Linked DNA regions of Xenopus tropicalis. Each later gene encodes a partner of the first gene's protein in a complex. Links are inferred from orthologs where the notes say so. Each region holds a gene or a part of one and is shown in the gene's direction. Other genes may lie near its edges.

Region 1 (6,191 bases):
AGGTATCTGTTTACTTTGACCACATATTTGGATGGTTAAATTATGATGTGCCTGTACCACTAAGGGCTCTGGCACATGGGGAGATTAGTCGCCGGCGACTAATCTCCCCGAAATGCCATTCCACCGGCGAGAATGTAAATTGCTGGTGGGATGGCATACGCGGCCATCTCAAGGCAAGGGAGATTTGTCGCTGGTGACTAATCTCCCAGTGTACCACAGCTTTAAAATGTATTTGCTTCTTTGCCAATATTAAATAATTGGGATTATACCGGATGGCAAGAATTACTAGTCCTAGTCTAAAGCCACAGAGCATCAGTGAGATGTTTTACTAACTGTACTAGGTCAGGGAAAACTGTTTGTTGGATGTTATGGGTTAGTGAATTGGGGAAAAGTACAGAGAACGTAATTGCACTGTAGTTACAATAATTGCACACTTTTGTCTAATTGGGGGACCCAAGCACCAAAAGCAAAGAGAACACTAATTAATTTTGCAACAAGGACACTAATTAATTAAAAGGCAACCAGCTTTCAGATTTATCCATTTTTTATCTTTTCATTTTTTTCTGCTAGTTATTAAATTCCTACAGGACACATAGACTCACTAGGGAGGCAATCAGTGCAGTGAAGACCTTCTTCAACTTGATCTCTTAATAGTTTTTTATGTTTGCTTTATATTAATGCAGGTGAAACATGAAAAGAATGTGCCTCCATGGACTGAAATTGTCCTTATCCCAATGACTGGGAAAGCAAGTCTGTACCCTGGGCTTTTTCTTTTCACCACCCCCTGCAGGATGGTACGTCCCGTCAGGAATTTGGCCTTGGGTAAAGAGGAATTGCTTGGCACTTTGGAACAGGTATTTTTCAGTGTTTTGTACATAAGTAAATCTTCTTTAATTTGATGACCATATTTTAGGCTCCTTCTTGAATTCCATTACAATATTGTCTCTGATTGGTAATCTCCTGCATGACTCTAGCTTTGATCCTGTATTATGTGTTAAACATCTGTTGTAAGTTTCATTTTCTTTGCAGGAATTATCCATAATGTATTGTATTTCACTGGTGTTACTTGTGTTTGCCCCAGGTTTTCTTGAATGTGGCAGTTTATGAAGGTGATATTGTACCCGGAGAGACCACTCACCAGGAGTTTTTCCCGCACAGCATGCTGAGTGTAGTAGCAAATTTTATCCCCTTCTCAGACCACAACCAGAGTCCCAGAAACATGTATCAGTGTCAGATGGGTAAGTCATCTTTTAAGCAGGGCATCAGAATTTGGTAAGAATGTAAGATTTGTTCTGGTTAAGTTTAATCTACTCTTGTAAGAGCTATAAAATAGTATGTAGAGCTAAATATTGCAGCAGAAAAGTTCATTACTTGAGGAAGAGACCCTTGCTTTTTCCTGAAATTTCATAAATTGCATTATTTCCAGGTAAGCAGACAATGGGCTTCCCTCTTATGACTTATCAGGATCGCTCTGATAACAAACTGTACCGGCTACAGACCCCACAGAGTCCTTTAGTTCGGCCTTCCATGTATGATTATTATGAGATGGATAACTATCCCATTGGCACCAATGCAATCGTAGCAGTCATTTCGTATACAGGGTATGACATGGAGGATGCCATGGTAAGTAGTTGTCCCAAATTTGGTGAATAGAGATTTACATATCTGCTTATTTATTGAAATTATTAAAAACATTTGTCATAGGTAGTAATTTCTTAAACTTACTTGCCCCTTTCCAGCCTAGGCTGAGGTTTTAAAAGGCTGTAAAACCAGTGTGTGCCCCCCGCCCCCCCTAATACTATCAGAGATGGACAGGTATCGGCAGTCGCCAGAGGCGGTGGAGTATGAGTTGCTTCATCACCAGAAACGCTGGTATAGTTGGTGATGTCATGCATATAATTAATAAGAATAATATTATCTATTTAAAAATGTTATCAATTTATTTTTGTTAAATAAACTGTAAAATATGAGGGCATTGCTTTTACGTACATTAAATATTTATTTTCTGTGTGTCTGTATTTACACCTTGGGGTGGGGGCATCCATTTTGTTTGCCTACTATTCACTAGGCACAATGCATAGAAGATGCCTGTACTTAATACTTATTAAAGGCAGGTGATAAGTAAAGGGCACCCTTGTGTCCAAACTGTAGGGAGTACAAGTAGGAGCATACTATTTTAATAGATAACATTTTAATCCCATTATTGCACTTGGCACTGGGCCTACCATTGATAAGTGGGACCTTATGTTGGCCTACATACCAGCTAATGACCAGAAATCACTAAATAAAACTTCAAGTTTCCAGTGCACAATAAATGCATCAGCCTTATACAAGAACCAGATCTTTTGTTCAGTATCAGCTTCAGGGGTGACATCTGTACTGGTGTTTTGCAGGTCTTGAACAAGTCATCATGGGAAAGAGGCTTTGCTCATGGAAGTGTGTATAAAACTGATCACGTGGATCTCAGTAAAAAACTTAAAGATGGAGAAGATAATCTAGTTTTTGGCATCAAACCAGATGATGAGCGGGTGAAAGGAAGACTGGACAGCGATGGCCTCCCTGCTGTTGGTGCTGTTCTGCAGTTTGGAGACCCTTACTATGGCTACCTGAACCTTAACACAGGGGAGAGCTTTGTTGCCTATTACAAGTAAGTATTAATTTGCTTGCAGTTCCCTGGGATCCTGTATGAATGGCCTAGTATTATTTTGAATGTACAAGAAGGAGTAATGGATACATTATCTATCTGATACTGATACTACAGATCCTGGTTTAAATTCTTGATCCTGGGCAAATCACCTAATTTCCTCGTCTTTGAGCCCTAATTGTATGTTATAACTCCAATTCCACACCTTGTTTTGCTTTTTTGATGTTGTGTACAGCAGCCCCCTTTGAAAATTGTTTATAGTGGTTTAAATAAAGTTGTACAAACAAAGACCAAAGAGCATTTATGCACATAGTTATTTATAATAAGACAGGCACCAGATATCATTCGTATCTCTTATTTATTCTTTTTAGGAGTAAAGAAAACTGTGTAATTGACAACATCAAAATCTGCAGTAATGACATTGGTTTTGGAAAGTTTAAGTCTGTTTGTGTCACCATGAGAATCCCCCGTAATCCAACAATCGGGGATAAATTTGCAAGTCGGCATGGCCAAAAGGGTATTTTGAGTAGGCTTTGGCCGTCTGAGGATATGCCATTTACAGAGAGTGGAATGGTTCCGGACATCCTTTTCAATCCTCACGGATTTCCCTCTAGAATGACCATTGGGATGCTGATAGAGAGCATGGCTGGAAAGTCAGCAGCCCTGCATGGTCTCTGCCACGATGCCACACCCTTTACATTTTCTGAAGAAAACTCTGCCCTTGAATATTTTGGAGAAATGCTGAGAGCAGGTGGTTACAATTTCTATGGCACAGAGAAACTATACAGTGGCATAAGTGGCCTGGAACTTGAAGCCGATATTTTCATTGGGGTGGTTTACTACCAGCGCCTTCGACACATGGTCTCTGACAAGTTTCAGGTTAGAACAACAGGTGCCAGGGATAAAGTTACCAACCAGCCTGTGGGAGGCCGTAATGTTCAAGGTGGGATACGTTTTGGAGAAATGGAGCGTGATGCACTGCTGGCCCACGGTACCTCTTTCCTGCTTCATGATCGACTTTTTAACTGCTCGGATAGGTCGACAGCACATGTGTGCATAGAATGTGGAAGCCTACTCTCTCCTTTCTTGGAAAAGCCTCCGCCTTCCTGGTCATCCATACGCAACCGAAAACACCACTGTGAAGTCTGCGATCGTACGGATACTGTTGAGACTGTATCAGTACCTTATGTTTTCCGTTATTTTGTGGCTGAATTAGCAGCCATGAATATCAGTGTGAAACTAAGTGTGAGCTAGTTTCAAACACCACGTTGTGTTGGGCAACTTCTGTATGATTATAGTAGTACCAATGTGCCTCCTAATTGAGTAAAAACTTTGTATGTATGGATTTCAACTGCTAACTCACACTGTGGCAGCTTTGGTTTGCTTCAGACTGAATCTGACTAAATTATTTTTATCAGCATTTTTACTGCTGAAACAATTTCCAATGTGAAAAGGAAACAGTTATTTTTACTGAGTTTAAAAATGCTCAGAAGTCTCATGCTTGCGGCACACATCCCTACCAGAAGTGTCTAGAGAATTTGGACTTTGGGGGAATATATTTTTAAAGTAAAATATATGGTGACATGAACAATGCTGTGTGACATAAAGCAACAGTTCCCACATTAGTCTTTATATCTTTTGTATTTCATGGTTTGTTTGTTTTTTTTAAATACCATTACATGTGTACAATTAGATGCTTAAAATGACATACGTCTTTTGTTTAGTGCAAAGAAAAGTATGCACACCTGCTGCCTGCAAGCAGTGTAGCTATAGGGGGGAGCAGACCCCAGGGCTACAGCGAGTAACACAAAAAAGGCACTCTCTTGAGCATGGAGTGGAGGTGGCCAAAAATTGTTTGCTAGTGTACCTGGGACCAGGGAATACAGTGGAAGTACTAAATGCCTTTTATTCATAGTTTCTGTATTGTGTAACACTATTTTGGGATAGATTGGACCAAAACCAGGCTAGTTGTAGAGCATTGGTTACATGTGACTCTCATACATCAGGATGGGCCTCCGCTATATGGGAGAAATTACTGGAGGATGGTGTTATACCAGGGGGCTCAAACTCAATTTACCTGGGGGCCGCATTATCGGATAATGCAAGGCACGGCGGGCGGGAGCTGCTGATTGCGGAAATGACATTATGCCATCATAACAGTTATTATGGGAAGACGTTCTGTGTGCACAATTAGCTGCTAACTAAGGAGCTAATTGTGCACACAGAACATGCCTTGCATTATCCCTTGAATCGCAATAAAAATCGCGATCCATTCATTGCTTTTGCAAAGGCGTTGGTGCGGGCCACAAAATATTGTACCGAGGGCCGCGAGTTTGAGACCCCTGTGTTATACTATACCTCTCACTGCCACTGTGTAGTGTATTAGATGGTAATGCAGATTTACGAATAGATGATGGACACCAGGAGCTCTTGCAAACAAAGGAAACTGTTTATTTGTCCAAGACCAAATTGTAAATACAGGGATATCAATACACACTCAGATGAGGTAAGCAGGTACAAATGTTCAATCAGTTGAAGTATGGTGCCTTCGGGTTTATCCCTTCTCATAAAGAGGTATGGGCAGGGTAAGACAGCCAACAGAGTGGTAGGAGGCAAGCTCACCGGTTGATCCCTTCTCTTGGTAGAGGTAAGGGCAGGGTTAATTGCTGGCCTATGTCCCTAGCACTTCTGTGTCCCTAATCTAAGGCAAGTAAGCCTGTTAGGAGACTACTCCTTTACTCTTCCCTCCTGGATGGAACAAATGAGCTGCTCTTTCTATATAAGTCCTGACTGTGTAACTCTCCTAGAGATTTCTATAATATTAATTAACCTGTTCTTGCTTAACCACGTTCATGGGGCCCTGTCCCCGACTTTAATTTGGATGGAATGGCTTACTGGGGCCTGTGTCTGCACCCAGGCTCAATGGAGAGGTGCACTAGGTAGCAGACCGGCAGCCAAAGAGGAAGTCACACCCTCCTGCCAGACACTTTATCAGTCTGCAGGGGGCGTGTACAACCAGGCTAAACCTATAAGGGATAGCTTTACAACTGTAACTGAAGTACAAGGGCTTTTACCCAATAATAATAAAGATGTGAAGAGGTAGGGTGTAAAGCCATAGGGAGCTTAACCCTATGGGTCCCTACATTTGCAAAAGCTTTCTTCCACTTAACACATATTTTATTTTTCTTTAAATGTATAGCACTTGTTGCACCAGTGTGCTGCAAAATACCACCCCTATATTTTGGTTAAGGGGATTATCACCTTTTGTTTCAGTGGCTGATAATGCCTTTATTGAACTTCTCTTCTTCTACCTCACTTCCATCGTAAATTCATATCTTATATGTGTGGGCTTCTCTTGTTCTGGAGCTAAACCTAAGATGAAGTGCAAAATAAACAAGCGATGAACAAATTGAGGTCGCAAATGACCTGTATTAATTCATATGCCACAAACACCAGGGGACATCAAAATTAAAGGAGACCCAACACTTTTTTAAAGTGACATTAATTATTACAGAGAAGGGAAGTAATGACTGTACTTGTTTAAAGA
Region 2 (6,107 bases), about 61 Mb from region 1:
TTATGCTGTAGTTATAACAGCAACGGTAGGAACTTTTTCATTTCTATCAACAGAGCAGACTGTTTTCCTTAATAATTTGGAGATACTTAAAGATATCCTAAAACTATGAAGTCAGGCAGTAAGTTGCTTTGAAATTTTTACTAAAATTTTTTTTTATGTTTGCATGTGTTTTTCTGCATGATGTATGAAGAACAATTTTGTGACTAGGTTAAAGGAGAACTAAACCCTAAAAATGAATGTGGCTAGAAATGATGTATTTTATATAATTAACTGACTGGACTGGAGATATATGTCTGTCATATAAGCTGATTCTAAAGGGTTAATTATTCAGTTCTGATGATGTTGCCCTGGTTTCAGATGTGTCATTTAATGTGAATCTGAATTAATTACTAATAATCTTTTTACTGTTACTGTTATATTCTATTTATGCAGTATATTTTGAGTCGGTCCCTAAGCTCAGTAGCTCAAAGCAGCACAGAACATGTGTAGGGAATCAGCAGAAAAGAAGATGGGGAGTTACTGGGCATCTGTGGAGGCACAAATCTTCCCTGCTTAAGGGCTGTGGTTGCCTTGGGCTGGTACAGAAACCCAAAACATAATGTATAACATTTCTGCCCTACTTCTTTAGTTAGGCTTTAGTTCTCCTTTTAAAAGGCTTGCTTCTGATGCAATAAGTATTAGGCTTTGAGCAGCAACAAACGTTGTTAAGTTAACCATTATAGTCAGAACACTACTTCCTCACAGCTCTCTAACCTCTTAGTCATTGACTTTGGGGGGGGGGGAACATGGGACTGTTAGTGAGACTTAGGGGCTGATTTACTAATCCACGAATCCGAATCCCGAATGGGAAAAAATCGGATTGGAAACGAACATTTTGCGATTTTTTCGTCGCCGTCACGACTGTTTCGTAAATTGTCGCGACTTTTTCGTAGCCATTACGACTTGCTCGGAAATTGTCACAACTTTTTTGTAGCCATTACGACTTGCTCGTAAATTGTCACAACTTTTTCGTAGCCATTACGACTTGCTCGTAAATTGTTGCGACTTTTTCGTAGCCGTTATGACTTGCTTGTATATTGTCGCGACTTTTTCGTATTGAGCGCTCGTAAATGGCGGGCAAACCTTTGCGACTTTGCATGATTTTGGAAGCCTCCCATAGGACTCAATGGCACTCTGCAGCTCCAACCTGGCCCAAGGAAAGTCACAATACTGAAGCTTGAAAGAATCTGAAACTTTCGTACTCGGCGCGACAGCTATGAAAAAGTCGCGAGAATTTACGAGCAAGTTGTAATGGCTACGAAAAAGTCTCGTCAATTTACGAGCAAGTCGTAATGGCTACGAAAAAGTCTCGACAATTTACGAGCAAGTCGTAATGGCTACGAAAAAGTCTCGACAATTTACGAGCATGTCGTAACGGCTACGAAAAAGTTGCGACAATTTACGAGCAAGTCATAATGGCTACAAAAAAGTTGCGTCAATTTCCGAAAAAATCGCAAAATACCGATCATTACGAATGAAACGCATTCGGACGTTCGTGGATTAGTAAATGTGACCCTTCGTTTGTGAGCAAAAGCAAACTAACTGAACAGTTCCTTGTGCGACCAAAAGCGATGTGTATACCATCCCACAGGCAATTTACATTCTTGCTGATGGAAAGGCATTTCAGAGATTAGTCGCCCGCAATGGTGAAGATTTATCATGGGCGACTAATCTCCGTGTGCCACTGCCCTAACGGCTATTATGCTAGACACCTGCTCACCCCAGCCTTTATAGATTACATTTTCGCTTAACAATATTGAGAATATTTATTTTGTGCAGTCTATTTTACCCAGTTTCATTTTTTACACTGAACTGTTACCCTAATGGTTTTACAATTGTGTCTGTAAAACGCAGATCTGTGCATTTGATTGTTACTATAACCAACATAATAATCAATAACTGCAAAAAAAACTAAAATTACTAAAATTTCACTGGGCTTTACTTTGCTGGTGGCAACCAGGAAAAAAAAAATCTTCCTTCCCTATATGAATGACTGCTAAGGAAATATTTGGAGCTGAGGTGGCAGAAGGCAACTGACATGAAAAATAGTCTTTTTCTCTTTTCTAACAGAAGTAGGAGTAGAACTGGAAGCTGACTTTCTAGCAGCTGCCTACTGTGTGACGCGATTACGTAGGCTCGTTACTCCCAGGCGGCTGCGTAATGCGTCATTGCGTTACGTGTAGTCGTGACGCCAGTCTCGCGTGATGAGACTTTGACGTCGGGATTTTCTGTAAACGAGACTAGAAGCCGGCAGGCTTTGCGGGAAGAGTAAGTAGTGATACGGGACTGCGGGTTTTGTAAGGAAAAGCGGGACTTTCGGGCAGTATGCACATACTTGGATTGCCGCCCTCCCCCTTCTGTCATTGATTTGGGAAGGGAGGGCGGAAGCTAGGGTTCCTATGTGTTCTTTCCAAATTGAAGGATGTGACGGCAAAATCATGCAGAACAGCACGTGGAAACATAAAAAAAAAATCAGCGTCAAAATTTCAAAGCAATAAGAATGTAGAAACTTAATAGTGTCAGGATATCTTTACGTATCTCCAAATTATTAAGGAAAACAGTCTGACCATTAGAAATCTCATTCAGTTATAGAAAACAAAATATCCCTGCACAGATATTAATAAGAGTCTACCTTTCTAGCTATCTGCCATGGCTGGCATTTTGTTTGAAGACATCTTTGATGTAAAGGATATTGATCCAGAAGGAAGAAAATTTGATCGAGGTAAGCAGCATAGCAAAGCCAAACATGTCTGCTCCAAACATGAAAGGTCCATTTATTTTCTTTACATTGCTAATGTTGTGACTTTTCTTCTAGTGTCAAGGTTACATTGTGAAAGTGAGTCTTTTAAGATGGATTTGATCCTTGATGTTAATATACAGGTTTATCCTGTGGACTTGGGTAAGTTGGGATTTGTTGTCTGTACATTGACATGATTATAGCAGTCATTTTTGAAATAGGAGTCCACTTTAGAGACAAACACAATATCATAAAATGAAAATAATATTTTCAGTGGATTTATGTTTTGCAAACACAACGTCTAAAATGTCAAAAACAAAATTGACTTATCTGACAGTTTTCAGCCTTTTGTTACCTGTTAAGTAACACTCTGCAAGTGTCGGTGAACCCTTAGCAACTATCATTTGCAAATACAGTTTATTTAGTCTGTCTGATTCTGGGTCTTGCCAGTTGTAAGACCAGAAACAAACTTTATTATGGTTAATGCATATCTTGGTGCAGTGTGCTGTTGGGGTGGTATCAGAAGCTGGAGGATTTTTAGGGTGAATAGGAGTTGATCCTCTAGTTGTGTAAGTAGCACATACCTGAAGTAGCTTGTAAAATCTATGGTGCGGGTTCTATAGATCTGCTTTATGGGTTCCATTCTAAAAAAAAATGATGGCATGGCTGGCACTGCATTGACTAAACACGGTGCATAAATGCAAAGATGTATTTAAATTCTACCACATTACCAGTGTTTTATGAAGATTAACTGCACAACAGTTGTTAAATTGTGTGTCCTCTTACTCTTCTTCCACAGGGGATAAATTCCGCTTGGTTATTGCCAGTACGCTCTATGAGGATGGTACATTGGATGACGGAGAGTACAATCCTACTGATGACCGACCCTCAAGGTATCATATTACTGCAGATAAATAAAAAGGAACATATGGTTCATCCTGTTGGTTTCCAAATTATAGTCTTTGTGAGGCACGTGACTCATGCATTGCATTTCTTCTTTTAGAGCTGACCAGTTTGAATACATCATGTACGGCAAGGTCTATCGGATAGAGGGTGATGAAACTTCCACAGAAGCCGCTACCCGCCTGTAAGAATCCAAATCATCTACCCAGTTACTTGCTTCTTCATCTTAAACCTGCATGTGCTCTTTGTATGAAAAGACAAGAAGGTTTTTGCACCTGGGCCAGAAAGGCAACACACAGAAATTATTAGGGATGCACCAAATCCCAGATTCGGTTCGGGATTCGCCCCAAATCCTGCCTTTTTTTGATGGATTCGGTTTCGGCTAAATCCACTGTCCCAGCCGAACCGAATCATAATTAGCATAAATTTGTATATTCTAATTAGCATCCAGAAAGGGTTAAAATTTAGGGGGGGAGAATCCACTATGCGAGGATTGATCGTCGCATAGTGGATTCTGCCCTGCATCGCTGTATCACCCTCTTTCAAATGACCGGAAGCCAAGATTTAGCAGGTATTTTCTAATAAAGCATTCAAAATAATAAATGGTGTGCAGGATAGGGCAATTATTGGGGCAGGGTAGAATACATTTTTTAATTAAAAATTTTTAGTGTTACTTTTCCTTTAACAATTATTGCCAGGCTCCACCATGCCAATAAGCTGAACTGTAGACCACATCCAATAAGAGGATTACTCCTATTGGAATCTATGGATATGGCAAGCCTAGAACTCCACAGTAAGGGTTATATTTATCATGCTGTGTAAAAAAGTGGAGTAAAACAGTACCAGTGATGTTGCTCATAGCAGCAAAATCAGATGCTTTGCTTTGGTTGAACTGTTGAAATCTAATTGCTGATTGGCTGCCCTGAGCAACATCACTAGTAATGCTTCACTCCACTTTTTACACAGCATAATAAATATACCCCAAAGTCTACAATATAGTGGGATGGAATTTAAAGATAAGGGTGCATGTTTCAGATTTACAGTTTAATCAGTAGAAGGTGATTTATTAGGGAATTCTCTGACATCTCTCACTTTTTAATAGACACCAAATTGAATTGTGCAGAATAAGCAGCACCATTTATGGTGGATGAAAGCAAGCAATACTAATAGGGTTTATTTTTCTGTAAACTTGAAAGGGACTTATGTTTCACTTGTGCCCTTACTCTTTCACACAAGTTGCCTCTACTTTCCAATATTCTCTGTGTTCCATAACGTGCTCATGTTTCCTCTAGGTCTGCATATGTATCATATGGAGGACTTCTAATGAGGCTTCAGGGAGATGCTAACAATCTGCATGGATTTGAAGTGGATTCTCGTGTTTACCTCTTGATGAAGAAGCTGGCTTTCTAATGCTGAAGGGAATTATTGAATGGTGCAGTATTGGAATGTAATATAGACCCTTTTGACATCTTGTATTTTTTTGTATTTTAATAAAATATTATTTTGTGATAAATAGTTCTTTTGAGGTTTTAATAATGCAGTCTGTGACATTTTAAAGGTGATCCTTTATGTTCTTAAAGCAATATACAAAAAAAAATCTCAACCAGTCATCAGTTAAATGACTGGTGCAGCTGGTTAAAAAAAAAGTTTTTTTTTCTAGGCAGTCTAATTGGCTTTTAAAAGGAAAGCTGGGTTCTGAAACAAAAGGCACTTTAGGCATGCATTTTGTCCTCTTCATGATCATTATTGTGGAGATCCACAAAGAGACAACATTGTACTAAACTAGTGATGCTATTTTGTAGCGATAATACTCATTGAGATACTAGAAAAAAGCTACTTTTTCATCAAACTCTGCCAAGATAAATTGCTACACTTCAATCTACAACATCTAGGAAAGTAGCCTCAAAGTAATGCAACAAGATACTAACAGAATTGAAGTCAATAGGTACTAGGGTTATGGTTTTTAATTTCTTTATTCTCCTACTTTTCTTTAACAATGTTTTAATGTACAGATTTTAATTGCTGAAATAAAGGTTGATTTTATTTATAGGTGTGCCAACAAACTGTGTCCTTTGAAACATAATATATTCAATTGTGGAGGTCTTTGAACTCTGATAAAGGTTGTTTTGCACATATCCATAAGATGGCATAATGATAAAAACTATTCTACAGATAAAATCTAAAGATACAAAGGTTTAAGGGTTTTGTGAACCCTTAATATAAAACAAAAATTAGTAAATATTAATGAATCTGTCAAGAAAGTAGCAAATAAGGAATAAAAATGTATTTGTGTTTGCTTTACCTGTTTTAGGACACCCATCCTATGATGAGAACAGGTGTGTAGTACTGTTAGTAGTGTTTTGCAGGCATCCTTAATTGAGAAGGATCTAGGGGTTTTTGTAAATAACAAGTTGTCTAATTCCAGGCA
Region 3 (6,310 bases), on another chromosome or scaffold:
ATTTTCTAAACTAAAACTGCAGTCCCCTTGTGACCAACTGTGAAAAGTTTGGGGACCCTGGTGTTAATTCTGTGAGACTGGCAGCAGGTTGGATTTCCCCATAAAAGTCAATGGGAAAATTGGGGGGCGCTAAGAAGAAGAAGAAGCGGAAGAATAAGCTGAAGTGGAAGAACAGTATGTTGGGTTTTTCAAACCAACATAATTCCTACATATTTAGGCTGATGCCACACATGGCGTTTTTACGCTGCGTATTTTCTAATTCTCTCAGCGGCTGAAAAACGCCCGATATCATCATCCATAGAAATAACTTGAAAAGACTCGAAGTAAACCACACAAAGAGTACATACGCTACAAAACGCCTTAGCACGGATTTTTCCGTTTGACGAAATACGCCAGTATTTGCACAGCAAGATATTCCTATGTATACACAAAGGCAGCTGCCAGACCTAGCGGAAATATGCAGCGTTTTTCACTATTTTGCACTATTAGCACCATGGAAACGGGATTTGCTACGTCACCAGTACTAGGCTGAAAAACGCCATAGTCAGGGGCTGTGTGGCTTGTGCTGCGTTTTTAGGCTGAGAAAAAACGCAGCGTAAAAACGCCACGTGTGGCATCAGCCTTAGGGTTTATTATGTTCTTTGTGCTCAAATAACTTTTCCACCCTGACACAAATTATGTTATATACCCACAACACTCCTGTCACCTACTCCCCACTAACACCCTAAACATGCATAGAAATTATTGATCAGAAAACAGTGTTGGACTGGGTTGTCCGAAGCCTACTGGGGCTGCTGCATGGGGGCCCCCAACCACAGTCGTGAGCTGCTTTTGTATGCTTCTCCCGCCACCACTGTGTGACTTCCTCCTAGCGGCCGCAATGGGAGGGGGGGAGCGCCAGTGCCTGCAAGGGGAGTCACTGTTTTTTCCCCATGCCCTGCCGGCCCAGTTCAACATTGCCCGAAAAACCAAACTGGGCCAGCAAAAGTAGATTTCAGTGTTGTCTCAGTGTTCATGCCTCTGACCAATGGGCATCATAGGGGTTAGCACAAGTGGCATAACTTGGTTGCCCCCTGCATAAAAAGCTTTTGAGAGGGTCCGGCGCAACCAGTCCCTCCATCCGGCCAGACTGCACCAGTATATTTAAGGTAGGAAAGGGGCCTGGGAGGGGGGACTAAGGCACAGCAGACCCTGCAGTCGGGCCCCCCACCCCAGTCAGGGTTGGACTGGGCCCAAAACCCATGGCGCTCTCTCCCCTGTTGCACATAAGCTAAGACACACGGCAGAGGGAGTTGAGCAGACAGTGGGGGCCAGGACAGGGCCCCCCAGTTCAACCCTGTATATAGTTACACCCCTGGTTAGCACTGCTGTCTGGGTTTCATTCTAGCCTGGGCACTAGCTGCAACTCCCTGGGATTCCTCCCACACTCCAAATACATACAGGCAGATTAAGTGGTACTGATAAATTGACCCTAGTGAATGTGGTAGCAACCTTAGATTGTAAGCTCCACTGGAGCGGGGGCTGGTGTACAATCTCTGCTCATTGCTGCAGTGTCAGTACCATATAAATAAGGGTTAATAACTGTAAGGCGCAAAGCCCTTCCCCTGGCACAGTATGGGCTCCTGGCATCTCTAGCTGCTCCCCGCTCATTATGCCTGATTGCTGTTCATGTTAAAGAGAGAGAGAGAAGAAACCCTCCTTGATGTGCCAGGAAAGCTTCCCCCATGATTGGCTCCCTCTCTCTGACGCTTTCAACAACAAAGGTGGAGTCAAAAAAAAAATTAGGTTAAAAAAAAGGAGAAGATAAATAAGAGTCAGACAGGAACAACATATAGGGAATAAAAACCTGTTATGGGGGGTTTAGCGCCTGTGTATGGTTGGAAGCGCTGAGCAGCCAGCAGCCGCCGGATCTGAGCAGCCACCAAGCCCTGCTTCAACCATGATCACTGTATTGTTGGACTACAGCTCCCAGAATGCCCGCACAGCCTATCTGGGAGCTGTAGTTGGACAACAGCTGGAAGCAAATTGCTGCCGTATGAGGTGAATGTGAGGGGTGCCTGTAGCGGCAGCTGGTAATGGGGAGCAGATTGCGGTGCTGGCTGGATGGAGGAAAGGGAGGGATGGAGGGATCAGCTGGAGCCTGTTGCAGGGAGAGATTGGAGGGGGCCTGGCTGATTGGAAGGCTGTATAGGCACGGAGAGCGATGGAGGCGGGGGAAGTGCGAGCTCTCTGCGGGGACTGGGTCTGAGTCCACGCCCGGGGCCAGCGCTGCAGATCTGGCCATCATTCAAGCGCCGCTTCCCCAGCCTTGTACAGGGGAGGAGGAAGCCGAGCCCGGGCTGCACACACACACACAGGAGGTGGGTTTCACTGAGCTCCATAGAACTCCCCCGGAGCTGGCGAGGCCCCCCTGCCGGGCTGTGTAGGGTGCAGCAGCGGGAGGAGGAGGAGGCGGCTCCCCGCGTTCTGTCTGCCCGGCTGCTGCTGCAGCGACGCTGGGCGGGGAGAAGGAGCAGGCAGCGCCCCCCCTCCCCCGGAGCTCTCGCCATTACCCAGGGGCTGCCGCAGCCGCTTTGTCTCCGAGATCCGGACAAGCAGATTCCCCCCAACATCCCTGGGAGAGACAGTGGGGTAAGCCGGCTTGGGGGTCTGCGGGCACCTGGGGACGGATACGGCACAGATCGCTGGATTAGTATAAAATCCACTACCGGCCGGGGAATTTGTAGCCACCGAAGGGCGTTAGTGTGCGGGGAAACCCGGGGAAAATGTCACCTCCAAGCGGGCACGATTCAGTCGGGCTTGCCGAGAAACATGCACTTTTCTCGGTCACCTTGCGCGACTCACCCCGTTGCGGTTATGGGGAAGGTACGTGTAGCCTCAGTTTCCCTGCCCGGGCTCACCCTGCGGGGCATGGGTTTGTTTAATGCGGGGAAGGGCACTGTATGTGACGGGCAGTGTGGAACCCAATAAGGGCAATAGCAGCCCGGGTTCCCGCTGCGCCCTCTCCCAGGCACCCTCCCCTCGGGCTTTGGCTTGTTTTTCTCGGGAAGAGGCTGCTAGTTCCGCGCTGGGGCTGCTGAGGTCGCTCTCCCCCGAGTCTCCGGCTCCTCCTCCCCCCTTGGCCGGAAGGTGAGGCCCGGCAGCTGGGAACAAGGTAAGAGCTGCGGAGGGGGAAGGAGAGAGACGTTCCCAGGGGAGCAGAGAGGTGGGTGCCCGGGAAGATTGCGGGGAGCTGCGCCGACACGGCTCGGAGCACCGAAGGGAGGGGGCCGGGAACATGAGGCAGAGCTGGCCGGGGCTCGGGTGCATATTGCGGGGAAACGCGAGGGGGCGTCCGGCTGCTGTTGCGGGGCTTCCGGGCGCGACACGTGGGCTGGCAGGGGACTCGGGCTGGGGACGGCGCTTCTCACGGTGAGTAGGAGCGGAGAGGGGGTAGAAGGTGACCCTGTTTCCCGGGAAGAACAGATGCTGCCTGGACTGCGCTGCCGGTAGTTAAGGAGGCAGTCGGCCGGTGTCTAACGGGGAGCGAAAGAATCATTCGCGGGTAGAAGCGAAGGGACCCATTGTGGGCAAATAACGAGGTGGGTGAAAGTCGGCCGAGCCTGTGGCGCATTATACTACCGCAGGCAGCCCGACTGGATCGTCTGATGGTTTAACCATACGGGCTCTGCTTTAGCCGAATCCGATTCGGAGCCTTTCCCCGCACCTTGCTCAAGGCAGCCCAAGCGGCTTCCCGGCACAGGGTGAACGAGTCGGGGCTACCAGCGATCCCAATGAAAAGCGTTTTAAGGCGGAGGCTCCCCCTGGGTCGCGGAATGGGCTGATCCGTACTAGTGGAAGCCGTGCCGCGGCAGGGAAGGAGCGGACGCCGGAGCTACGGCTGGTCCATAACAAAGGGGGGAGCGCTTTTCTCGGGAGCCGCTGGTTCGGAAGCGGGCGGTAGGTTAGGGTGTATTCCTCGCTACGGACGGGGGCTCGAAAAGATGCTATTTACTGGTACGGAGAGTCAGAGCCCGGGGTGGGGGTTGGACTAAGCGGGATAGGGTGCCCGGAAAGCTGGTGTTTTGGTCCAGTAAGGACCAGCCCCGCAGGCATTACTCGCTAGGGTCAGGGGTTCCCGGGTGAGACGGTTCTTCGGTAGAGTCAGTGGGTTGTGTCAGGTTGGAGCGACCCCTCCCTGGGACTGGAGACGGGAGAGTACCGCTGGGTATGCGGCAGTGCTCAGTCGGGCCGCCCTTACGGCTAGGAACCCGGCTTTGCCTGGGGGTCGCTGCCGCGCTAATCCTCCCTCGCACCGGACTAGGGTTGTACAGTTACCGGGACCGCATCGCTGCTGCTTCCCGACGCGCCCAACAGGAATCCCGGCTCCCAGCCAGAAGTTCCTCCCTTTCGGGGGTGGGATACGTCTGCTCTTTCCGGATCCCGTCCCCTCCCGGTGCTGGGCGGGTGCTACGGTGAGAGGCGGCGGGGGCCCCCTGCAGGCAGAACGGAGAGTCCTAGCCCGACTCGGGGTGGGGAATTGTGACCTCAGAGCGCCCTTTCCTGGAAATAGAGCAGCGCTGCTTCTTAGTACCCAGTCCTGTAGCCGGAGCTCGGCCCGTACTGATCGGTGTGTTTGTATGGCAGCTCCTACGCCGTGTACGATTCCCTGCAACTGGCGCTGCTGTTGAAAACTGTAGTTCAGCATCAGTCACGTCACACACACATTTGCACTGCTGCCACTAGACTCGTTTGGGTTTAATAGCAAAACCATTTAGGACCCCTTCACTTTTCCAGTAAGACATGGCCACTGTGACCCCCTATATCTCCTGGACTACCCCAAAAGTCGCAGCTGTGAGACTCCAAATATCCTTAACCTCATACCAGAACCATGTGACCATAATGGTAGAGCTGGAGGGGCAGATTATAGGTAATGCCCCGACTGTGTTTGCCACACACCCATCGCATGTAAAATGCCAAGCAAGCTGATATTTACTCCCAGCCCATGCCTACATACCCTTTTATACTGCCTTAAACCGTACAGTGTTATGGGATTGTTCTTGTGTTCAGGGCTCCCCTTACAGGAATTACAGGGGTATTACATTATTATCCCTTCAGGTTTCTATGGCATGTGGCCTTGTGTCTTTTGTTACCCAGCTACACTGTAAATATAGGGAAACATATACAGGTAGGGGATCAGGGCCGCTGCTGGCCAAATGGGTGCCCTAAGCGGAAATTTACTTTTGTGCCCCCTCCCCCAAATATTACGTAAGTAAAAATGAAATACTAAAAAAAAACACCTACTATAGGGGCCCCACACACAGTGCCCCCAATTGCCCCCATAGTAAGTGCCCCCAATAGCCCCCATAGATTGATTGAACTATCCGGGACAGCGGGATGCACTATAAAAACCGGCGGAACATTGTTGGGGGGGTATGTTATAACATATAAAAATGTTTTTTTTTTGGAGCAGCTGGGATGATGCCCCCTTGGGAGTTGGTGCCCTATGCAGACTGAGTACTCTGCTTATAGGGAGCGGCGGCCCTGTACGGGATCCTTTATCCCAAATGCTTGGGACCAGGGGTTTTCTGGATAAGGGGTCTTTCCTTAATTTGGATCTTTGTACCATTTCTACTAAAAAATAATTTAAACCCAATAGGATTGTTTTCCTACCAATAAGGATTAATTATTTCTTAGTTGGGATCAAGTACAGGTACTGTTTTATTATTACAGAGAAAAAGGAAATCATTTTTAAAAATGTGAATTATTTGATTAAAATGGAGTCTATGGAGATGGCCTTCCCCTAATTGGGAACCTTTTGGATGACGGGTTTCCGGATAGAAGATTCCATACCTGTACTTCTGTTGTAAATAATAAGGATATTAGAAGTCACTGAGGGGTTCTGCAGGCTGAGTTATACAGGGAACTCTGAGCATCACTCATGTATTATAAAACTCTGAGCATCACGCATGTATTGTAAGGAATAATGTACCCCCTACTGTAAATAACAAGGATATTAGAAGTCACTGAGGGGTTCTGTGACCATATAAAGGCACAAGGCTGCAGGCCAGGACATTGAATTCCAAGGTGACTTCTAATATCCACATGTTTTACATTAGTTCTTCTTACACACAAAATTGTGAATGAAGTTCAATTACATCACTAAGCACCATTTATAACGGTAAAATTGTAAACAGGCCTTCTCTTTCAACAAAGAGTAAACTCGAAACAATAATTTTAAATATTCTACATTGATTTGACCTGCCAAATACCAGAGGATATGTGTATAAAGTAGTGCCAAGTATAATGTTTTTTCTGCTTTTTGTCCATG
Region 4 (4,763 bases), on another chromosome or scaffold:
TTCAGGGTATTGTCAATAAAGTTGCACCCACACATATAGGTTGTTTGGTACATGGCTGTTTCAACGCTTCCATACCCAAGCCTCCCAAGATGCCCATTGAAAATTGGCAGCGTATTGGTGTTAACATAGATGACGAGATAGAGTTTGAAGTATTCCGTTTAGATTCTGATGCTGTCGGTGTATTTTGTATACGTGGAAAGCTGGATAGAAGGTGATTTGTTTTTTTGTTTTTCTGTGAGGCCAAAACAAGTTTCTGCCAATATAGTCTAAAACTCAATATTTTGGTTTGCATGGGTTCAGTACAGTTAATTTAAATTTAACGTGTTGACAACAAATCTTATTTTTCCTAATCAGATTAAATATAAGAAAGATTAAATGTAAGAAAGGAAAAATAAGATTTGTTATCAACACGTTAAATTTAAATTAAGTCTTCGATTTTCTACTTTTTAATTTTGTTCCCATGTTTTACTTTTTTGGTGATACATGTTAAACTACATGAAATTATACATAACTTTATACAATATATGTACAAATCGTTGCCTTAATTGTTTGTGTAAACCCAGAATATAAAGACATAAAATAAAAATCCTACACTTTAGGTGGCAGATACATCTTGCCTCCTTCATCAGGAGGTCTCTAATTCTGAGTTTATCTACATTATGTATATTAATTTTTGTGTTTTGCTGCTACAGAATGGAAGATAAAGCTTACGAAACCCCATGTGAAGAAACTGCTGAGCAAGCTGATGATGGAACATCTGATAAAGATGCAGATGCCCTGGAAAGCTCAAATATGGAATCCAGCGTCCAAGAAAATGGTGATGTTCAGGAAAAAGCAAAGAAAAAACGCAAGAAACAGAAATTGCAAGAGTCGCTTACACAGGAAGCTGAGAGCACAGGAGATCATTCTATAGTCACAGATCCAAATCTAGAGAGTCCTGGAGAATTGCATGAAGACATTTCAAATAAAGAACGCAAGAAAAAGAAGCACAGGAATGTTCCTGGGCAAAATAGTGAATCTGATGCTGAGAAAGGTGTGGACAGTACAATCCTTGAAGACGGCAATATTACTGAATCACCAGTTAATTTTAAACCAAAGAAATCCAAGAAGAAGAGTAAGGAGATAAGTAATTCTAATAGTACCTCTGCTTTTCTCAATGGAGTAGTAGAAGATGAAAGTTTTTCAGAAAGTGCCACTGTTGAACCAGAAGAAATGACAGCAAGTGGTGGTGACCCAGATAAGGTTAAGAAAAAACACAAGCACTCTTTTGTGGAGCAGATCCCGGACAGTGACCTTGTCACTTGTATCTCATCCGAAGGATCTCTCACCAAAGGCCTTGTTATCTCTCAGGAAACTCCAAAGGCAAAAAAGCATAAAGCAAAACATCAGGAACATTTACTGCCTGGCAGTGGCTCAGGGTCATCCCAAAGCAAGCACAAAAAGGCAAAAAGACACCATGAAAATGAACCAGATACTTTGGCTGCAGAACCCAAGATTAAAAAGAGACATAAAGAATGACATGTTTTTAACAATACTGTAAATTTGTATTTTCAAAAGCAAAAGTGTATTTTAATAATGTATGTGCCAATGTAAAAATTATTTGGAAGTTTAAAAATCAAATATGTTTAGGAGTTCCACCTATTTATTATAAAGTGTGCCTTGTGCTTTCTTTCTTTCTTTCAAACATTTTACTTCTGGCCATTCTATAGGGCCCCCAGCAGTGCATATGTACCAGGGTTCATGCATTAGGTTAGTAAATAGACAGACTTTCATTGATGCACTTGTGCTTTTGATAGGTCCAGCTGTACTGCTGATTGGATCTTTAAATTAATAAGCACAGCCACACATGCTGTAGCCCAAATTGTGCAGGCTCAGCATTTCAGCCATATGTATCCTGTATTTAATGGAAAAGGGGTTAATTAAACAAGAATTGGGGTTTCTAAATTTCCTAACCTGAACCTGTACCGGAAGGAGTTAGGTGCTCTACTGCCAGTCAATCACTGCCTTTTTTCACTTAACCCCGAATTTGTGGCAAAATTGGAAAATATCACTGTGACTGATAATGATCCAGCATTCTATTCCACAGGAAGCAGAGGTAGAGGAAAGTAACCATGAGGATCATTTATGGGTCTAAGCCCTATAGTAAAGGAAAACCATAATGATGATAATACCTTGAAACAAGAAGCAGAAAGAACAGGTTATTTTTAATAACTTTCTGAGGTTCCTCCTGCATAGACCGTCAAAGACACAAGTCCACTTTTTTAGCAACCAAAAGGATTGGATCTCTTACAGATACCCTGAAGGCCTATGGAACCCATCTTAATGCCATAAGAGTCTTACAAGATGCCTGGTGATTAATTTGCATATAAAGCTGCCATTTCAGAATATACTATAGATGTGCTTAATGCAACCAAGCCAAATGGTTTGAATGTCAGTTGTAACTGCATGAAAAAAAGGCATTTTAAATTTTCACACATGGGTTTCATGTTACCTATGTATTTGCAGTATCAGTAGTGCCTTTAAATTGAATGTGTGTGTGTAGGCTACATATGCATTTGCTCAGCAGGGCCACTAGATGTCACTGTTGTCTTATTAAATATGTGCCCATTGCAGGGGAATTAGACTGCTTGCCTTTAAACAGACTTTCTGCCTGATAATCGTCTTGCCCAGTTTAGTTTCCCACATTTTTGTGTTTGTTTTTTCCTTTTGCTTGTTCTTTAACGTATGAATTAACAGAAACAAACAAGTGTAGCAGCCCTGTAGAATAAAAGAACAGATGCACCTAGTTATATCCAGACACTTGCCGGATGGAAGAAGAAAAGACTAACAAGATCCCTCTATGCAAGGATGGGCAACTTCCAGCTATTGCCTTTTGTAGCACTGCTGATAAAGTTTGACAGCATCCAGGGACCAGAGGCGCCCAATCACATTATTAGTACACAGTTCCTCTATATGTTGCAGGACTGGCTGAATAGAAAATGATATATAGAATATAACCTTGTTGCTATTAAGTGTTATACAGCCCATACCTGTGCATATTGATATGAGCAGCAAGTTTTTTCTTTGACATAAGACTTGTCAAAATTAAAAACTCCCACACGTATGCTCCTGCGGAAAAGAATGCCAAAGTCTGCTTTAACTTTCTGCTGTGCTAAACCCATTGGGCAGGTACCTTTGAGTATAACATATAGCCCATTATTTTAGAATGTGAAAAATGTTATATGTATTTATATAGCACCCACACATAATGCAGCACTTGATGCAAACTGTTTATTTCTGACATGAGTCCCTTTTATACACAGCCAATCCTGAATAGAAAACCAGTAAAACTATGTAGCAGCAGTGGACTGTCCTCCATCCAAAAGTCCAATTCCTACAATAACGTGTACGCTCTGTGGTTAACTGACCTGAGAAGGAGAATCACACAAGGGTGCAAGCATTGTGGGAAGCCAGTTCCTGGTTTGAGGAAAGGCAGTGGTGGGAATAGCAAGGGGCAAAAGCAAAATGCTTTTGATTGCAATTGCAAAAAAAAAAATGTGGATTGAATCATTGCTAAGAATTGTTATTATTTAAGGTGTTGTGAAGCAGTATCTGGCTGTTTACAATCTCTGAACCTCTAATTCCGACTCCTGAAAAGATTTTGCAGGAGCCAGCTGATCTGGAGGAGAACTGATTTCTGCTGCACTCAGTCAGAGCCTGAGAACACAAAGAAACAAAACCAGCACTACTTTTGACATGAAATTACATTTACAAATGACTGTAATGGGAAAACATTTTTTTTTTTTTTAACGCATCAGTTAATAGAGCTTCTCCATCAGAATCCTGCATTGAAATCCCCTTTTTTTTTAAATTTTTGTAATTTAATTTTAAAATTTCACATGATGCTATCCATATTCTTCATTTCCCAGGGTGCCACAGCCATGTGACCTGTTCTCTGATAAATTCAGTCAAACTTTACTGCTGAGCTGCAAGTTGGAGTGACATCACCTCCCTCCCTTTCCCCCCCAGCAGCCGATCAGCAGAACAATGGGAAGGTAGCAGCTCCCAGTATGTATCAGAATAGCACTTAATAGTAAGAAAGTCCGGCTTGGGACTCCTCCAGTCACATAGGAGTAGGAGAAACAATAGGTTATCTGATAGCAGTTCCAATGTGTAGCGCTGGCTCCTTCTGAAAGCTCAGACTCAGGCACAATGCACTGCGATGGCTCCTACACACGAATATTACAGCTAAAAATTCATTTGTTGGTTCAAGAATAAAATTTTAAATGGTAGAGTGCATTATGTGCTATGTAAACAGTGTATTTTAGAAATAAAAAGTACACCATAAAAATTATGACAATCCCTTTTAATGAGTCTCATCTTTTTGTATTGTGCAAAAAATACAGTTTTGTTTAAATAATAATATGCTGTAAATGGAAGCGCCAAAGAGACTTTTTTTAGCGCATATACTAGTACTTATGGGGAAAAGCAGACTCTGCTACACTGCTCTCCATTGAACAGTTATTTTTCTGACCTGAACTCACCAGTGATGTTGCAGTAGTGGCACTCTGTCTGCTCAGGTCTTTCAGGTGCATATGTTTCCTTAGTGCATTCTAGTACAGGTATAGGATCCCTTATCCGGAAACCCGTTATCCAGAAAGCTCCGAATTACGGAAAGCCTGTCTCCCATAGACTCCATGTTAATCAAATAATTCAGAATTTTAAAACGGATTTCCTTTTTCTCTGTAATAATAAAACAGAACCTTGTACTTGATCCCAACTAA
Region 5 (6,029 bases), about 29 Mb from region 1:
TGCCATAGACAATACTGAGAATTGCCTCTGCTAAAACACACATAGAGACAATTATCAGTAAATGATCAGTATTGTTTGTTTTAGTAGCCACAACAAGCAGCTGCTACTAGTAGCTCCGTGTGTCTTCACCCTTAAGATCCACAAACTTGGATCTTTAAGCCTGGTACAGTTACCTGTAATCAACCAGTCGTTCCAGCTTTTGTATGTAGGGGGTCAAGGAAGAGAATTGGGAGCCTAGTTAGTAAGCCCCGAATGCCCTAGGGACTAAATCCAGTTCACTATTGCTGCCTATTGCTTAGTATAGCTGTAACTATAGCTGCCTATTGCTTAGTATAGCTGTAACTATAGCTGCCTATTGCTTAGTATAGCTGTAACTATTGCTGCCTATTGCTTAGTATAGCTGTAACTATTGCTGCCTATTGCTTAGTATAGCTGTAACTATTGCTGCCTATTGCTTAGTATAGCTGTAACTATTGCTGCCTATTGCTTAGTATAGCTGTAACTACAGCTGCCTATTGCTTAGTATAGCTGTAACTATTGCTGCCTATTGCTTAGTATAGCTGTAACTATAGCTGCCTATTGCTTAGTATAGCTGTAACTATTGCTGCCTATTGCTTAGTATAGCTGTAACTATTGCTGCCTATTGCTTAGTATAGCTGTAACTATTGCTGCCTATTGCTTAGTATAGCTGTAACTATTGCTGCCTATTGCTTAGTATAGCTGTAACTATAGCTGCCTATTGCTTAGTATAGCTGTAACTATTGCTGCCTATTGCTTAGTATAGCTGTAACTATTGCTGCCTATTGCTTAGTATAGCTGTAACTATTGCTGCCTATTGCTTAGTATAGCTGTAACTATAGCTGCCTATTGCTTAGTATAGCTGTAACTATTGCTGCCTATTGCTTAGTATAGCTGTAACTATTGCTGCCTATTGCTTAGTATAGCTGTAACTATTGCTGCCTATTGCTTAGTATAGCTGTAACTATTGCTGCCTATTGCTTAGTATAGCTGTAACTATAGCTGCCTATTGCTTAGTATAGCTGTAACTATTGCTGCCTATTGCTTAGTATAGCTGTAACTATTGCTGCCTATTGCTTAGTATAGCTGTAACTATTGCTGCCTATTGCTTAGTATAGCTGTAACTATAGCTGCCTATTGCTTAGTATAGCTGTAACTATAGCTGCCTATTGCTTAGTATAGCTGTAACTATTGCTGCCTATTGCTTAGTATAGCTGTAACTATTGCTGCCTATTGCTTAGTATAGCTGTAACTATTGCTGCCTATTGCTTAGTATGGCTGTAACAAGGATGTCCAAAGGGATCAAAGCTGAAAGGAATGACCAAATGTTCTGTATGGGCCAACTGTAACAATAGTGAGGCAATAATTGAAAAACTGGGTGGGTTATAGGGTTTTTAAAAATCAAAAATTAAAACCATGTCCATTATTCACAAAAACATGGCAGTGTAACTTCAAATAAAATACTAAGTTTGGGATATCAGGAGCAGACTCTGAGGGTAGTGGGTATTGCTGGTAATCACCAGAAAAATAAAGCTTTTTTTCATATTTACCTCACCCACAAATATAAACAAAGTGTTTTTTTTGTTCCCATTTACATGTTCTGTGGAGCAGAGAAAGCAAATATTTGTTTTTTCATCAAACACTGGGGATAAAGCTTCTAAGGGCAGTGGCCATGGCAAGGAAACACGAAGGAAAAAAGCAGTCGTTATTTTCTTTATTTATTCTCTAACAAAATCAGAATCTGTGAGAGCAGAATAATCAGTCAGCGGCCCCCACTGCCAGCTATTGCCTGACTAACTCTTCACCCAATGACGAGTTGGCGCCGTCTCCGCCCCTTTTATACGTGGTTCATGACGTCATATTCTCGCGAGAGGAGGCTAGCGGCGTGTGGCTGAACATGCCTGCGGGATGCTTGGGGCTGGAAGTGCAAGCGGCGCTGCGGGGAATGTAAACACAGTGTGAGGGGGAAGCAGCCCGCTTGTCTGATTGTAACCGAGGGGAGATGGATGGGAGCAGCGAACGCAGTGCGGAAAGGGAAGATTCCGAGGAGGGACCGAGTGAGGAGGAGGTTCTGGGGCTCCAGCTGCCGGTGCCAAGAAGGAAACCCCACGGTAAAGACACTTAAGGGTATATTGATCATGCTGTGTAAAAAGTGGAGTAAAACATCACCAGTGTTGTTGTATATAGCAGCCAATCAGATGCTTTGATTTGATTTTCTAACTGTTGAAATCTAATTGCTGATTGGTTGCTCTGGGTAACATCACCAGTACTGCTTTACTCCACTTTTTACACAGCATGATAAGTACATACCTCCCAACATTTGAAAAATGAAAAGAGGGACAAAAAGATTTGGCGCGCGCGCAGTGCGGCATTTTTTTTAATCACGCCCCCTTTTGTGGCCACGCCCCAATTACCACACCCCATTAAAAAAAAATACCCCTTTTATATAGATGAAATGGCGGGCGCAGACGAAAATGTGCTATACCCTCATACTGTACTACCTAAGGAAAACAATATAGCAACTCCTACATATAAATACAAGTATAGAGAGAAGGCAGTCAGTTATAACTAAGTACCAGTTTTGCCCCCCCATACACAGTAGCCCCCCCATACACAGTAGCCCCCCCATACACAGTAACCCCCCCATACAGAGTAACCCCCCCATACAGAGTAGCCCCCCCATACAGAGTAGCCCCCCCATACACAGTAGCCCCCCATACACAGTAGCCCCCCATACACAGTAGCCCCCCATACACAGTAGCCCCCCATACACAGTAGCCGTCCCCCCGATCACAGTGTCCCCCCGATCACAGTGTCCCCCCCGATCACAGTGTCCCCCCCGATCACAGTGTCCCCCCGATCACAGTGTCCCCCCGATCACAGTGTCCCCCCCGATCACAGTGTCCCCCCCCACAGGTCCCCCCGATCACAGTGTCCCCCCCGATCACAGTGTCCCCCCCGATCACAGTGTCCCCCCCGATCACAGTGTCCCCCCCGATCACAGTGTCCCCCCCGATCACAGTGTCCCCCCCGATCACAGTGTCCCCCCCGATCACAGTGTCCCCCCCGATCACAGTGGCCCCCCCGATCACAGTGGCCCCCCATTCACAGTACCTCCCATAGGCGCAGGCTTCTTCTGCTGCTTCGTTATGCCTCTCCTTGTGCAGCGCGACAGGCCCTTTTATAAGGTTGCGCCCATGCGTAATGACGTCACACCCACAGGCGCAACCTTATAAAAGGGCCTGTAGCGCTGCACAAGGAGAGGCATAACGAAGCAGCCGACGAAGCAAGAACATCCGGCTACAGCAAGCGCATCCTGCTGTGCCGGATAGTTCCATGAATGTCCCGCAATGCGGGACAGTTGGGGGGTATGTAAGTATACCCCTTAGTAGTGACTGTCTGTGGCACCTTACAGCCCCCCTGGCATTCCCAGTACCCAGAGGCACAAACAGCCCCCCCAGCCCAATAAATAGTGACTGTCTGTGGCACCTTACAGCCCCCCTGGCATTCCCAGTACCCAGAGGCACAAACAGCCCCCCCAGCCCAATAAATAGTGACTGTCTGTGGCACCTTACAGCCCCCCTGGCATTCCCAGTACCCAGAGGCACAAACAGCCCCCCAGCCCAATAAATAGTGACTGTCTGTGGCACCTTACAGCCCCCCTGGCATTCCCAGTACCCAGAGGCACAAACAGCCCCCCCCCCCAGCCCAATAAATAGTGACTGTCTGTGGCACCTTACAGCCCCCCTGGCATTCCCAATACCCAGAGGCACAAACAGCCCCCCCCCCAGCCCAATAAATAGTGACTGTCTGTGGCACCTTACAGCCCCCTGGCATTCCCAGTACCCAGAGGCACAAACAGCCCCCCAGCCCAATAAATAGTGACTGTCTGTAGTACCTTACAGCCCCCCTGGCATTCCCAGTACCCAGAGGCACAAACAGCCCCCCCCCCAGCCCAATAAATAGTGACTGTCTGTGGCACCTTACAGCCCCCCGGCATTCCCAGTACCCAGAGGCACAAACAGCCCCCCCCCCAGCCCAATAAATAGTGACTGTCTGTGGCACCTTACAGCCCCCCTGGCATTCCCAGTACCCAGAGGCACAAACAGCTCCCCCCCAGCCCAATAAATAGTGACTGTCTGTGGCTCCTTACAGCCCCCCTGGCATTCCCAGTACCCAGAGGCACAAACAGCCCCCCCCAGCCCAATAAATAGTGACTGTCTGTGGCACCTTACAGCCCCCCTGGCATTCCCAGTACCCAGAGGCACAAACAGCCCCCCCAGCCCAATAAATAGTGACTGTCTGTGGCACCTTACAGCCCCCCGGCATTCCCAGTACCCAGAGGCACAAACAGCCCCCCCCCCAGCCCAATAAATAGTGACTGTCTGTGGCACCTTACAGCCCCCCTGGCATTCCCAGTACCCAGAGGCACAAACGCCCCCCCAGCCCAATAAATAGTGACTGTCTGTGGTACCTTACAGCAGCCCCTCTGGCATTCCCAGTACCCAGAGGCATTGGCCAGAACCCACAGATTGCCAGTCTGGGCCTGGTGTGGCTGTAGAGTTGCTAAATTGTATATAGGGAACCTCTGCCCTCAGTAAACTGATACATTTAGCCCTCATAAAGGAGACATATCATGTTAAAATTATGAATGTACCAGTGTATTATACTCCTCTAAATATGGAAGGATTGTGCTTTTAAAAGTCCCAGTAGTCCCGCCCATCTGTTCCACTTCCTGCTGGCTGAGTTCTTTGGATGTGCAGGGGGGCCAGCAGCACTCGGTATACTGCACTGTAGGATAGGAACCAACAATCAGCAGCTAGGCTGACCTGATAGGGAACTGAAGCCTGTCTGTGCTTGTGTGAGTGCAGGGCTGTGATTGGCTACTCCCCTCCTACTGTGCATCTGGCAGGGACCGTTCGGACACGCCTACCCCTCATTTGAAACACAGACTTGATAGGATCTATAGGGAGCTCCAATTAAGGGTTAATATTTACAGACCTTATTAATCTTAAGAGCAAAGTGAAACCAGCACCATATATTATTTATAATTGCCTACAAGATAAAAATTTTTGTATTTATCCAATATGTCTCCTTTAACACAAAATAAGTTTTGAGGCCAGAGCAGATTGGGGTCCAGCACTCGCACGCCTGCGCCAAAATTAACGTTGCAGTAGCCTGTGAAAAAAACTGTAAGTGCTATGACGGCATCCCCCTACCTTTGTTTCTTACTGTTTGGCTTTCTGCGTATTAGGGATGCACCGAATCCAGGGTTCGGCCATAATTCTTGATGCCTTTGCACCTAAAATTTACCATAGGTAAATTCTTCTTTTCCTCGTGTTTGTGCAACGGATGCTGCCATTAGTAAAACTGAGTTTATTTCTTCTCCGACAAATCCTTGCAGGGTATCTTTCAAAAGGAACCACTTACCGTCACACCGTAGACCTGTGCTTCTGCCTCATTCATGAAGCCATAGCCAAGAGCCAGTGGGAGAAAGCGGCTGAACTTATGCTGAGCTATTTGCAGACTCTTGAAGATGGGACCACCGAGAGGCAGAGGTGTGCTCCGGAGGTATGGCCAAATGTATTTTTTTAAATAAAAAAGCTAAAACGTGTATTGGAAGCAGCTGTCTCTTTATTTGCTTCTCCCTGTCTAAATTCTAGAACTCTTCACACCCTATATACAGTAATAGTCATACACATATTAACCAATCACGTTTTAAATCAGTCAGGAAACCAATAAATCGTACGGTAACATTGAATTATATAGGGGTGTGATGGAATTCCAGACTAGGACAAACGCAGGATCAGTTTGGCCAATCAACATCTGGTGAAGTGAAAGTCAACTGTCCATGTTCTGGCTAATCTGAATGCGTAAATTCAATTGTATCATTTAAGCTGGCCATACACGCACCAATAATATTGAACAAAACCTTGTTTCATACAATATTCAGTGCGTGTATGGCGGCTCGACGAGGCGACCAATATTGCAAAAGGTTGTTGATATTGGTA

What was found.
Region 2: polr1b (region 1) and polr2h share a complex: the UniProt entries of both Homo sapiens proteins name them as parts of the pol I pre-initiation complex. The link is inferred for Xenopus tropicalis from reciprocal best matches to the Homo sapiens genes POLR1B and POLR2H.
Region 3: polr1b (region 1) and ubtf share a complex: the UniProt entries of both Homo sapiens proteins name them as parts of the pol I pre-initiation complex. The link is inferred for Xenopus tropicalis from reciprocal best matches to the Homo sapiens genes POLR1B and UBTF.
Region 4: polr1b (region 1) and twistnb share a complex: the UniProt entries of both Homo sapiens proteins name them as parts of the RNA polymerase I (Pol I) complex. The link is inferred for Xenopus tropicalis from reciprocal best matches to the Homo sapiens genes POLR1B and POLR1F.
Region 5: polr1b (region 1) and taf1a share a complex: the UniProt entries of both Homo sapiens proteins name them as parts of the pol I pre-initiation complex. The link is inferred for Xenopus tropicalis from reciprocal best matches to the Homo sapiens genes POLR1B and TAF1A.

Annotation. Positions count from the first base shown.
Region 1 is NC_030681.2:38,745,731-38,751,921, forward strand, and holds the end of polr1b (DNA-directed RNA polymerase I subunit RPA2), read left to right. Parts: intron 1-683; coding exon 684-854; intron 855-1,081; coding exon 1,082-1,238; intron 1,239-1,426; coding exon 1,427-1,623; intron 1,624-2,393; coding exon 2,394-2,647; intron 2,648-3,015; coding exon 3,016-3,898; 3' UTR 3,899-4,276; downstream 4,277-6,191. UniProt on the Homo sapiens protein: Catalytic core component of RNA polymerase I (Pol I), a DNA-dependent RNA polymerase which synthesizes ribosomal RNA precursors using the four ribonucleoside triphosphates as substrates.
Region 2 is NC_030681.2:99,526,603-99,532,709, reverse strand, and holds polr2h (DNA-directed RNA polymerases I, II, and III subunit RPABC3), read left to right. Parts: upstream 1-2,294; 5' UTR 2,295-2,307; intron 2,308-2,679; 5' UTR 2,680-2,688; coding exon 2,689-2,761; intron 2,762-2,854; coding exon 2,855-2,938; intron 2,939-3,575; coding exon 3,576-3,669; intron 3,670-3,779; coding exon 3,780-3,863; intron 3,864-4,971; coding exon 4,972-5,089; 3' UTR 5,090-5,192; downstream 5,193-6,107. UniProt on the Homo sapiens protein: DNA-dependent RNA polymerase catalyzes the transcription of DNA into RNA using the four ribonucleoside triphosphates as substrates.
Region 3 is NC_030686.2:18,521,736-18,528,045, reverse strand, and holds the start of ubtf (nucleolar transcription factor 1), read left to right. Parts: upstream 1-2,204; 5' UTR 2,205-2,631; exon of another isoform or gene 2,632-2,865; intron 2,866-3,000; exon of another isoform or gene 3,001-3,411; intron 3,412-3,439; exon of another isoform or gene 3,440-3,581; intron 3,582-3,642; exon of another isoform or gene 3,643-3,939; intron 3,940-4,032; exon of another isoform or gene 4,033-4,609; intron 4,610-6,310. UniProt on the Homo sapiens protein: Recognizes the ribosomal RNA gene promoter and activates transcription mediated by RNA polymerase I (Pol I) through cooperative interactions with the transcription factor SL1/TIF-IB complex.
Region 4 is NC_030682.2:38,623,839-38,628,601, reverse strand, and holds the end of twistnb (DNA-directed RNA polymerase I subunit RPA43), read left to right. Parts: intron 1-5; coding exon 6-211; intron 212-692; coding exon 693-1,518; 3' UTR 1,519-3,152; downstream 3,153-4,763. UniProt on the Homo sapiens protein: Component of RNA polymerase I (Pol I), a DNA-dependent RNA polymerase which synthesizes ribosomal RNA precursors using the four ribonucleoside triphosphates as substrates.
Region 5 is NC_030681.2:9,681,818-9,687,846, forward strand, and holds the start of taf1a (TATA box-binding protein-associated factor RNA polymerase I subunit A), read left to right. Parts: upstream 1-1,864; 5' UTR 1,865-2,020; coding exon 2,021-2,129; intron 2,130-5,422; coding exon 5,423-5,589; intron 5,590-6,029. UniProt on the Homo sapiens protein: Component of the transcription factor SL1/TIF-IB complex, which is involved in the assembly of the PIC (pre-initiation complex) during RNA polymerase I-dependent transcription.